Xenopus tropicalis: one gene and its partner. The protein of the gene in region 2 purifies or fractionates together with the protein of the main gene of each other region. This does not show direct contact. Links are inferred from orthologs where the notes say so. Each region holds a gene or a part of one and is shown on either strand. Other genes may lie near its edges.

Region 1 (5,114 bases), on a different chromosome or scaffold from region 2:
CTGCACATGCAGAGTCAGTCTGGGCCTAACGGACCACCAGGAAACATATGGTGGGCCCTGGTGACCCAGACCCGCTTGACACTATAGAAGCTACCCCCAACCTTCCACCTCACGGCCATAAGGGAAGAGTGCAAGGAACACGCAGGGGAATGGGGGTGCAGTGTGTGGAGAACCTAACAACTGGGGTTGTGGTGCCTAAATTGGTAGACCTGGTTGGCATTAGACCCCCCCCCCAGTCCAATGCCTACTAGCAGGGCCAATGATTTGATCACACACTAAAGGATTTTAAAGTTAATCATTTGATTTTAAAGTAAACTTAATAAAGGTATTTTTAATAGGTCTTAGCTGGTGTGCCTTGACAGGTGTCTAACTATAGTGCGAGGTTAACTTCACTATTAACACTAAAGGTGGGCACACATGGGTCAATAAAAGCTGCAGGCTTTGGTTGGTATTGGCCAACATATGAGGCCCTCCGACGGGCCTACTCGACTGATATCTGGCCAAAAATAGGACAGCTTTGATTTTCACATGGGATAGAGGACCAGACGTGCACGTTGATGAAGTCCTCAATCTGACAGTCTGCATAGGAGCAATTATGATCCAATCATTTGGCCCGAGGGCCAACCAATCAGATGAGTTCAATATTTAATTGTGTGACCACCTCGCCAACTGAGCGGATCTTTCAATGCCTGGCCTGCTTTAGGCCTGTGGGGGCCAATCAGATGAAGACTGCTTCAATGCACCTTGTCTGATGGAATTTTCAAACCTGTCCGACTGCTATTTGTATGTATGTATGTATGTATAACTTTATTTATAAAGCGCCACAAGGGTACTCAGCGCTGTACAGTCTTACAGAATACACAATTACACACAGGGAGGACAAGTGATATAATAAATAAATACAATAAATACATATATGTATATATATATATAGGAACAGGTGAAAACAGGCACTCACGTATAATGAAGTAATAATTTGCCTGGGTGCAGTATAAAGTGAGCATACAAAATTAGAAAGAATATGCTGCACACTCAGGTCTTAGATGCAAAAAACAAAAAAAAATTTATTTGGATCAAGGATCGAGTCCTTGATCCAAATAAAAAAAATTTTGTTTTTTGCATCTAAGACCTGAGTGTGCGGCATATTCTTTCATTCTTTCTAATTTTATATATATATATAAATGCCATGTGGTATGAGAAACAGTAGGAAGGAGGTCCCTGCCCCGTAGAGCTTACAATCTAAGTGACAACATACACAGCTTTTATGGGCCCATATAGGGCCACTATTACTTAGCCATGTAGTACCTACATGCATAAGTGTCGCCTGTAACATGACAGATGGTTAGGGAATGCACTGACAGCGTCCCCCCGCTGGCACAGTAGTGGAATGGATTTGCCCTGTGGCTACTGAATACTTTCCATTCCACTAGTCAAACGGATTTCTCACTCGCCCATAGTTGTAGAGCGCCAAGGTTTCGTCACCGAGAGGGGGTGGATCTATGGCAGTTCCCAGTTTGGCCGCCTGGGGCCGCTGCATGACCGTACAGCGGGGAAGGCCGCGCTTATTCCCATAGCCGCTTCCATTGGAGCTGCCGGAGACAAATTGGCGCCATTTTGAAGCTCTGGGCAGGCTGCACGGAGCGGGATAACACGGACGGAGAGGAGAGCGGGGAGTCGGAGCCGGAGGGGAGGGAGTACAACGTACTGGCGAGCGGCAACATATAAAGGTAAGACATACGGTGCCAGGGCCGGCGGGCAGAGGCCTGTGTTCCGGTGAGCGGCCTCCCGGCTGAAGGGAACGGTGTGCGGGGGATGCGGGGAGCGGCCCGGGGGTACGGAGCGCTGTGCTGCCCTCACTCAGTGCGGGGAAGTTGTCTGTAATGCTGCGCAGTCATGCTGTTATGTACAGCGCCATCGCTGGCCCCTCCTGTCGCTGAACTACAACTCCCAGCATCCTCCGGCAGCCCAAGCCTGCCCAGGGGTCGGGGGGCGGGGGGAGAGGAGTATAGTTTCAAGACTGCTGATCACAAAGGCACTGGGTGCCCGGGGGTGCCCTGTATTGTTACTGGGTGCCCTGTATAGTCACTGGGTGCCCGGGGTTGCCCTGTATTGTCACTGGGTGCCCGGGGTTGCCCTGTATTGTCACTGGGTGCCCGGGGTTGCCCTGTATAGTCACTGGGTGCCTGGTATAGTCACTGGGTGCCCGGGGTTGCCCTGTATAGTCACTGGGTTGCCCTGTATTGTCACTGGGTGCCCGGGGTTGCCCTGTATTGTCACTGGGTGCCCGGGGTTGCCCTGTATAGTCACTGGGTGCCTGGTATAGTCACTGGGTGCCCGGGGTTGCCCTGTATAGTCACTGGGTGCCTGGTATAGTCACTGGGTGCCCGGGGTTGCCCTGTATAGTCACTGGGTGCCTGGTATAGTCACTGGGTGCCCGGGGTTGCAGGGCATATATATTCTGCCTGGATATTAGATGCCCAGCCTCTCACATTGCTGCTGTATGACTGGGCATGCTGGGTAGTTGTAGTTCTAGAAGTGGAGTGCAGGCATTCCTGGCCTGGATTGTCAAGATTCTAAATAATTAAAGGCAGCCATAACCCAGAGTGACTTTCCCTTTAATAGCTGTCCCAGTGTGGGTGCTGTACATTTGTCTGGCTGTGGGTGCTGTACATTTGTCTGGCTGTGGGTGCTGTACATTTGTCTGGCTGTGGGTGCTGTACATTTGTCTGGCTGTGGGTGCTGTACATTTGTCTGGCTGTGGGTGCTGTACATTTGTCTGGCTGTGGGTGCTGTACATTTGTCTGGTTGTGGGTGCTGTACATTTGTCTGGTTGTGGGTGCTGTACATTTGTCTGGTTGTGGGTGCTGTACATTTGTCTGGTTGTGGGTGCTGTACATTTGTCTGGTTGTGGGTGCTGTACATTTGTCTGGTTGTGGGTGCTGTACATGACTGCCTGGGCCATGTATGACTAGAATGCCAAAAACCCACTGGCACTGTTCTCCTACCTACTGCTCACCCCCATTTCTGTTCGGATTAGAAGCTTTACTTTGTGGCCCTTTGTAGCTATTTGATGGTTGCTGCGGCTGCATCTCCTTACTATATACTTTATGAATGGCATTCATTGGCTGACAGCTGACACAGGTCATTGACACTAGGGCTTGTGTGACACTGATATACTAGTGCTTGTCTGACTTATTTACCACTTGAAGCCCCGCCTCTTTGAGGGTCCAATCTTTGGCTGGGGGCCCCTTAGCTCATGGTTACTGATATAGGAAACCTTTGTGTATGAGTTTAACCATCTAGATTGGCATTCAGGTGTATCTAGGAGATCAAATAGGCTTTCCCTCAAAATCTTACCCTCACTTGCATTGATACTGAGCCCCTGCTCCACAGTTGGGCGCTAGTGATGCTTGGGCCAACAGTTTTTTTTTATTTTTGAAAGCCCGAGGTCGTGCTTTCTTCCTAAGTGCAAAAAGTGCGAAAAGTGCATCGTGCAAAAAACACACAAAAGTGCACAAAGGGTGCGTTTAGCTGCTAGCCCCTAAAGGGGCAAAGCTGCCATACTCGATTCCCACGTGGCCAAAAGGCTCGGCGAAAAAAGAGTCTTCGAACCCTCCTTTGCCGAAGCTAGGGAGGGTCCCTTTACATCCCCGACCCCCGGACCAAAAGGCTCACGGGGGCAAGGGTCTTCGGACTCTCCTTCGCCGCAAGGCTAGGGAGAGTCCCTTTCCTCCGGAATCCGCCGAAGCTTCCTCCGAGGTACAGTCAAGGCCGAAGTCTTGTCTTAGGTCGGGGAGAGACAGGAGCCAAAAGGCCACACAGTCCTCCCCTTGGTCCGTGGGGCATACCCAAAAGGGCAACTGCACCCTCAGAACCCATTCGAAAGGGTCACATAGAAAAAAGTGCAGTGACAAAACAAGAAGTGAATAAATATAAAATAAGAAAAAGAGTGCCGTGTATACGGCCCCAGCCTGACGTCCGGAATTTTAAAAATTTCTCTCTGCTCATCAGCCAAAAGGCCGGGGGCAGAAGGAGCGAGTGCAGCATAAAAACTTAAAGTGCCATTGTGCAAAGTGCTGTACTAGTGCAGCGTGAGCCACCACCTCACTGTGCTTGTTCGGGCACCCTGGGGTCGCTACTCCCAGGGCACGGCGCACCTCGGGCTTTCATGCTACCGGCCCTCTGGCCAGAGGATCATGGTAGACTGTCTTATATAGGGGGGGAGGAGAACCCCCTTAAGAACAGATACTACACTTGATCTTAGCCAAAGGGCCGAGAAGCGAGAAGCTTGGGCCAACAGTTACTTGACCCGGGGAAAGCCAAACCTGCCCCGTTTCGACCCGACCCACCATACTGCAACTGTTTACATAACTGCGCCCGACTCCCCCATCTCTAGATGTCACAGGAGGGGATGGGCACAAGTCTATAAAAGGAGTTAGACCTGGAGATAAATGGAGAAAAGAGATTGGTGGGGGTGTATATTTAAGCCCGCCCATAACAAAGACTTAAATTGCTGGCCCAGCCCCCACAATTAGATACCAATGCTGCACTGTTGTAGCTCTTAATTCCACCCCCCCATTGCTGGCATGATGCTTAACCCCTATACCCATCTGCCACCTCCACATTTTAACTCGGAGGCTGCACTGTGCTCGGTGGTGTCTCTTGTTCTTTTAGATAGTGCCTCTGTCTGCCCCGGCTGTACAGCTGTCTGAGCACAACAGGCATTGCTTGCCAACCAAACTTTGTACTGTGCTTTCTTAGGGACCCTGGCACACTCGTAGGCATGATGCTGTAGAAGGAGTGCTGTGCGGCAGTATTGGCACTGGAATAACTAGCTTTTTATACATGGTCTGCAGTGTTTTCATTGGGAAATAAAAATGCAAGAATATATATATTTTGCTTCCATGTGGTACCGTCTCTAGTAAGAAGCCATGTATTATTGGCTGTGTATGCACAGGCTTTAGTATTGTGTGTGTATATGTGTATTGCTTGCTTCTGCCCTAGTGATAATGGCTGGTAAATGCCCTTTCAGAACTCTCATTAGTTACTAGAAAGCTGTAGTGTTGTTGGTTGTAAACTTGCCCATGTGTGTAACTTGTGTCTGTGCTGGTTTT
Region 2 (5,163 bases):
CATCAATTGGAGTCAGCTTAGGCTAAAGGTGGCCATACACGGCAAGATCTGTTCACTTGGCGAGGTCGCCAAGCGAGCGTATCTTCTCCTGATATCCCCACCTACGGGCGGGCAACATCAGGCTTATACAGATTGAATTAGAACGGCGGGTATAGGTGCTGTCCGATCTGACAAAAAGACAAACCTGCCCGATCGAGATCTGAATGATTTCAGGCCAAATGTCGGTCGGGCAGGCCTGTCGTTAGTGCCCATAGATGGGCCGATAAGCTGCTGCATCGGTCTAAAGGACTAATATCGGCAGCTAGAATCAGCCTGTGTATGGCCACCTTAAGTCAAATAGCAGAGGCATTTACACTAGTTATTTTTTAGCATCACTTAAATGCTGGAAATCATGAGATTTTTGTTACTTAAATTGTCAAGACCTACCTTAGGTGTGGACTGAGATCCTGTATTGGCAATAGCTGCCTAAAAAGACAAATAGGAATGATACAGAAAATAAGAAAAAAATTCTGGAATGCACCAGTTTTCTTTGATGAAATTCAGTTTTGCTGTTGATTAGAAATTGGTACAACCCAAATAATGCTTACAAAGGCTAAGATTCTGCCATGTGAATGTGAGGATTAAATACAGCAGTCTGTCTGTACTCTGCTAATGTCAGGTTCAGGCCTTGGGTGCTGAAACCAGTTATAGTAGCAACATTGAGTCTGAAATGTTAGAAAAAATGCTTCTGATTCAGTTCAGGTAAGTACAAATTAAATAAAAGTAGTGTGAGAGCAAGTTTTAAAAAACATATGCTGGAATCTGAGCTGGTAGCTATGTTTTGGAAACAGAGGACAAAAATACATCAGTGAGCAATTTGGAAATACACCAATGTAAATCAGCATTGCCTAATCATACACTAAACATGCAATACATAATCATATATTATAGATTGGCACAAGTTAAATCTTATCTTACTTCTGTTCCTATATAATTAATAATCAAGAATTCTGATAATTCTAGAAAAATGCACAACAATTTGGAAAAATTGTAGCATCTTACTGATAAAAACATACAAAGAATTTTTACACTATGAACTGAAGACAACAAAGATTTACAGTGCTGAACAATGGGAGAATGACACTATTGCAGCAGGGAATGTAAGGATTTACAAAAAAGGTAATGCTCTTCCCAGAGAAATAATTATATTGGCACCAGGAAAAAATTACCATTAAATGAAGCCTAGGTGCCTATATTTCCCCACCTGGTGTTGTAGTGAGTCACAAAGTAGCTATATTATTCCCCCTGCTTCACTCAGCACTAATGTGAGCGGAACTAGCTACTTCCTTTTATATATGCATTAGTCCCCAATATTATTATATCAGAAGAAGGGTAAAGCTTTCTTTTTTCATAACACGACAGTATATTTACCAGTGTTTTTCTGGGCATTATTTTCTTGACCGTAATTGAACGTTTCATGATAGGATCTGGGATCTGAAAAATACAAAATTTAAAATAACTTAAAAGGGGTCATTCACCTTTAATTTACTTTCAGTATGGTGTAGACAGTATATTATCAGATGATTTCCAAATGGCCTTCATTTTTTGTGGATTTGGAATTTAGGTTATCTGATTGCTAGGGTCCAATGTACCACAGCTGCAAGACAGTGGTTTAAATAATAGACTGGAAGGTAAAAGGGACTGGGGCAAGTTGCAATAAAATTGTAGATTCGGAGATCAATAGTCTTTTGGGTGCCGGGTCTCTGAATCTTTTTAAATGCTGGAAATGGGTAGAGGAATGCAAATTATAACAACTATGGAAAGTGAAGATCAACTTAAAAGAACAGGACAAGATTGCTTCAAGGTGGATTTTCCCTTTACTAGAGTGTTGAATGGAGCTGGCTAATAGAGGGATGGAAAGTAAAGAACATACCGGACTGTCTGAAGCAGATTTTCTTTGGGATCTTCTTTTAGGTGGAGAGACGATACCTGCAAATGAAAAGGGTGGCAAAAAATGAGATACAAGTGTTAAAATAATATACAACAAATCAAAACATCCCCAGACATACTATGGCAGAGAACATGAGGGTAAAAATCACAAGAGTTTTGATCATTACAGGTCCTGAAAGGAAGGAACACCACTGCCAACATCAGCATCCCATTCACATTTGCCATAATGTCAATATCACTCGGGAAATCTGTTTTCCCAAACTATATCAGCTTACTAGTACAAAAAGTGTTTTCCCATTCAAGTAAATGCCAAGCAGTACTCAAAAGGGGAGGGGGTATTCAGTGGAACATAACCAATTATTGTAATAAGTCCACTTGTGAATATTATTATAAAAAAAAAAAAAAACACATAGGCAGATATTTTAATCATGTGAAACATTCTGCAATAATGCAAAAAAAACACATTCAACATTATTTGGAATACAGTAGAAATATGCAGCGCTGTTTCTAATTGCCATGGTATAAAAATTGTCTGGAGGATAATTCGAATGCCACACAGTCCAAAAATTGTATGAAACTTTGTTTTGGATGAATATATTGGTGCGACATGATCATATTGGTGTGTGTGGCAAGCTTAATAAACATTCTTGCATAAAAGTAAAATATTCCTATGTCTGGAAAATAGGATAGTGTATATATTATGTACTCTAATACTTATCTTTATATCAATAATAAGCAAACTGAAAACTTTTAATGACATGTCCCTTTGTACAATTAATGTATTATCTGCTATAATATTTATAAATTATTATTTGATCTCTCATATTTGGATGACCGGTGGCAGGTTTCGATTGCATGTAACAAGGATGCCTCAGATCCAGGATTTCGTTTGGGACTCGTGAATCTGAGCAGCTTTTTGCAAGAGCCAGACGAACCCTTAGCAGACAGCTAAATCAGATCCAAACCTTTGTCATAAGGATTAAAAGTGCCTGAAAGACAATGTTTTGGTCACAGACTGTGTTCAGATCTAAATGTGAATATTAGTGACCCTAATAAACTGGACCCTTTATATAAGATGTAGCCAATAATGCGTCCAATTTCAAAACATCTGTAAGTTTTGCTGTCTTCAGTTTCCTTCCACACTCCAAGAACATCCAGGCAGGTTATATGGCTTCAGGTAAAGCTGGCCTGACTGTGTGTGAATATTACAGGCTCCTTAGATTGCAAAGCTCCCAGGAATATGTCAGCGCTAAATAATATGGCATAAGAATATAACTTGCTACGTTGTTAGCCAAATGCCCCTCATACCCCAGGTCTCACCTACTCCTCTGCGGGACTCTGCACCGCTACTTCTCTTCTTGCGCTCCGACATGGCGCTTGGTGTCGATAGCCTTTCCGTCTGTAAAACTGTCCTTTAGTTATTATAGACAAAGTCCCCAGTGGTGCTAGCACCTTCTAACATAATCTAAAGCCGCGGCTCACTAAGGTTTACCACCGACCAGAGGCTGCTGCATGGTTACACACTAGCCTATAAGCCATACACATCGCTTGGATCCTTATAGTCCTTTATGTAATAGGTACAATTCTACATACACGAACTGCGCGGCCTTAGTAACCCGCACAAATAAGTAGCCTCCTCCTACTACTCCTGAATTGTATAAACTATCAGAAGCCGACTTTAAACTCCGCCAGTGTCACTAAATAGGAGCCTTTCAAATATCCCGCGCCCGCTCTGTAAGCCGGAAGTGGAAGTGACGTTCGCTTGTGCTGCTAGAACCACTACCCTGCGCGTCGAGGAAATGACGTCACAACGGGGCGACGCGTACGCTGCTGTCACTGTCACCCGGAAGAGACGTGGCAGAGAAGAGTGGGAAAGGGTTGTCTAAGGAAAAAGATAGTAAACCAGCTGTGCCGGATGGAAACAGGAGGGGAGAATAGTGAATGAAGAGTGCTGGCAAGAGGGAGAGCATTGGGGCGTGAGGCCGCTGTGTGTATATAGCGCTAGGCAGGTAGGTGCATTGCTATGTGTAGGATGAGACTACGAATAGTATAACTATACAGATTCTGCGCTACCACTTCAGGTTTCCATCCACGTCGGGCTGTCACGGGATTCAAGGCTTTGAAATCTCAACAGAAACATAGTGGTATAATATACAGAGACAAGTGTGTGTACTTTGTTCTGCAGCTCGCAGGCTTCGACTTTTGTGGTTGTTAGGGCTTAGTTACTGAAGCAACCAGACAGTTGTTTGAAAATATGAATGGAAGATGAGTATATGATGCTCTGAACAAAAAAAAAAAGGATTTAGTAAGGTTTTTCTCCACCATTTTGCCTTATTCATTCTTCTGTACATGCTTGAGTGTCAGTCAGTGTCAGGGACACATAGCGTTTGTGTTGCCATCTGGCCTGTAAAACTGAAGCTTGGTGCCAATTTTATTAATAGGGAAAAAAATAAAAATACGGGCTGGGATTTTACTGCCCTGACCAGTACAATTGATGATAGATGCCAATGTAAAGTATAAAAAAGCCAGTATTTTTTTCCAGAAAAGATGGTTAACCTAGTGACAGACATGTAAAATAGCAGCACTGTGGCCTGTTGGTTATTTCTCTGGGAGGGTGCAGTATTTTCCTTAAAAAAGCACCAGCCCCCAGGAAAAACTTACTGATTGGATTCATCAGAGAGGTATCTAACACATTGGCACCTCCAATAAATCCACCCGTCCTTATCCTTTATAGGTAAGCTTTCCTCTTCATCAGTGAAGCAGTGAGGTTGTGACCACATATTACAAAGAAAAATAACATTCTGTTCATTTACCCGTATCTTTATATTATAGTACAATTCCTGCAAATAACTACTAAAAATGCCCATGCAACTTGGAACAAAGATAGAACATATGTTTCAGTATAGTTAAACTAGCCTAATGTGTCAAAGTCAGGAGGACTTGGCTTAGCAAATACACACAAGTGTCTTCTTCAACAACCAATGTCTTTAAAGATTTTTTTTATTGCATTGGCCATATAGGAAGTTGCCCAGGGTAAAACAGCTCTCTCAGAGGTTAATAGAAAATTAACAGGTAGCATTATATACAAATTAGTGTCCCCTTGGAAATTTGTCCCTGTATGGGCACAAATACTTCTGAAATTTGGTTTTATCTTTTATGATATTAAGGCCACCGGGAATAATTTGGATACATGTGTCTGCTTCTATTCAGTGTACTCTATGCAATATGAACCAT

Evidence for each region. The genes of interacting proteins can lie anywhere in the genome.
Region 1: the proteins of cdca5 (region 2) and pds5b purify together in Homo sapiens (affinity purification with western blotting; 4 studies listed by BioGRID and IntAct, with this or other methods). This does not show direct contact. The link is inferred for Xenopus tropicalis from reciprocal best matches to the Homo sapiens genes CDCA5 and PDS5B.

The regions. Positions count from the first base shown.
Region 1 is NC_030678.2:153,120,373-153,125,486, reverse strand, and holds the start of pds5b (sister chromatid cohesion protein PDS5 homolog B), read left to right. Parts: upstream 1-1,643; 5' UTR 1,644-1,727; intron 1,728-4,188; exon of another isoform or gene 4,189-4,284; intron 4,285-5,114. UniProt on the Homo sapiens protein: Regulator of sister chromatid cohesion in mitosis which may stabilize cohesin complex association with chromatin. May couple sister chromatid cohesion during mitosis to DNA replication.
Region 2 is NC_030680.2:33,588,879-33,594,041, forward strand, and holds the start of cdca5 (sororin), read right to left. Parts: upstream 3,671-5,163; 5' UTR 3,302-3,670; coding exon 3,250-3,301; intron 1,969-3,249; coding exon 1,913-1,968; intron 1,474-1,912; coding exon 1,411-1,473; intron 466-1,410; coding exon 427-465; intron 1-426. UniProt on the Homo sapiens protein: Regulator of sister chromatid cohesion in mitosis stabilizing cohesin complex association with chromatin. May antagonize the action of WAPL which stimulates cohesin dissociation from chromatin.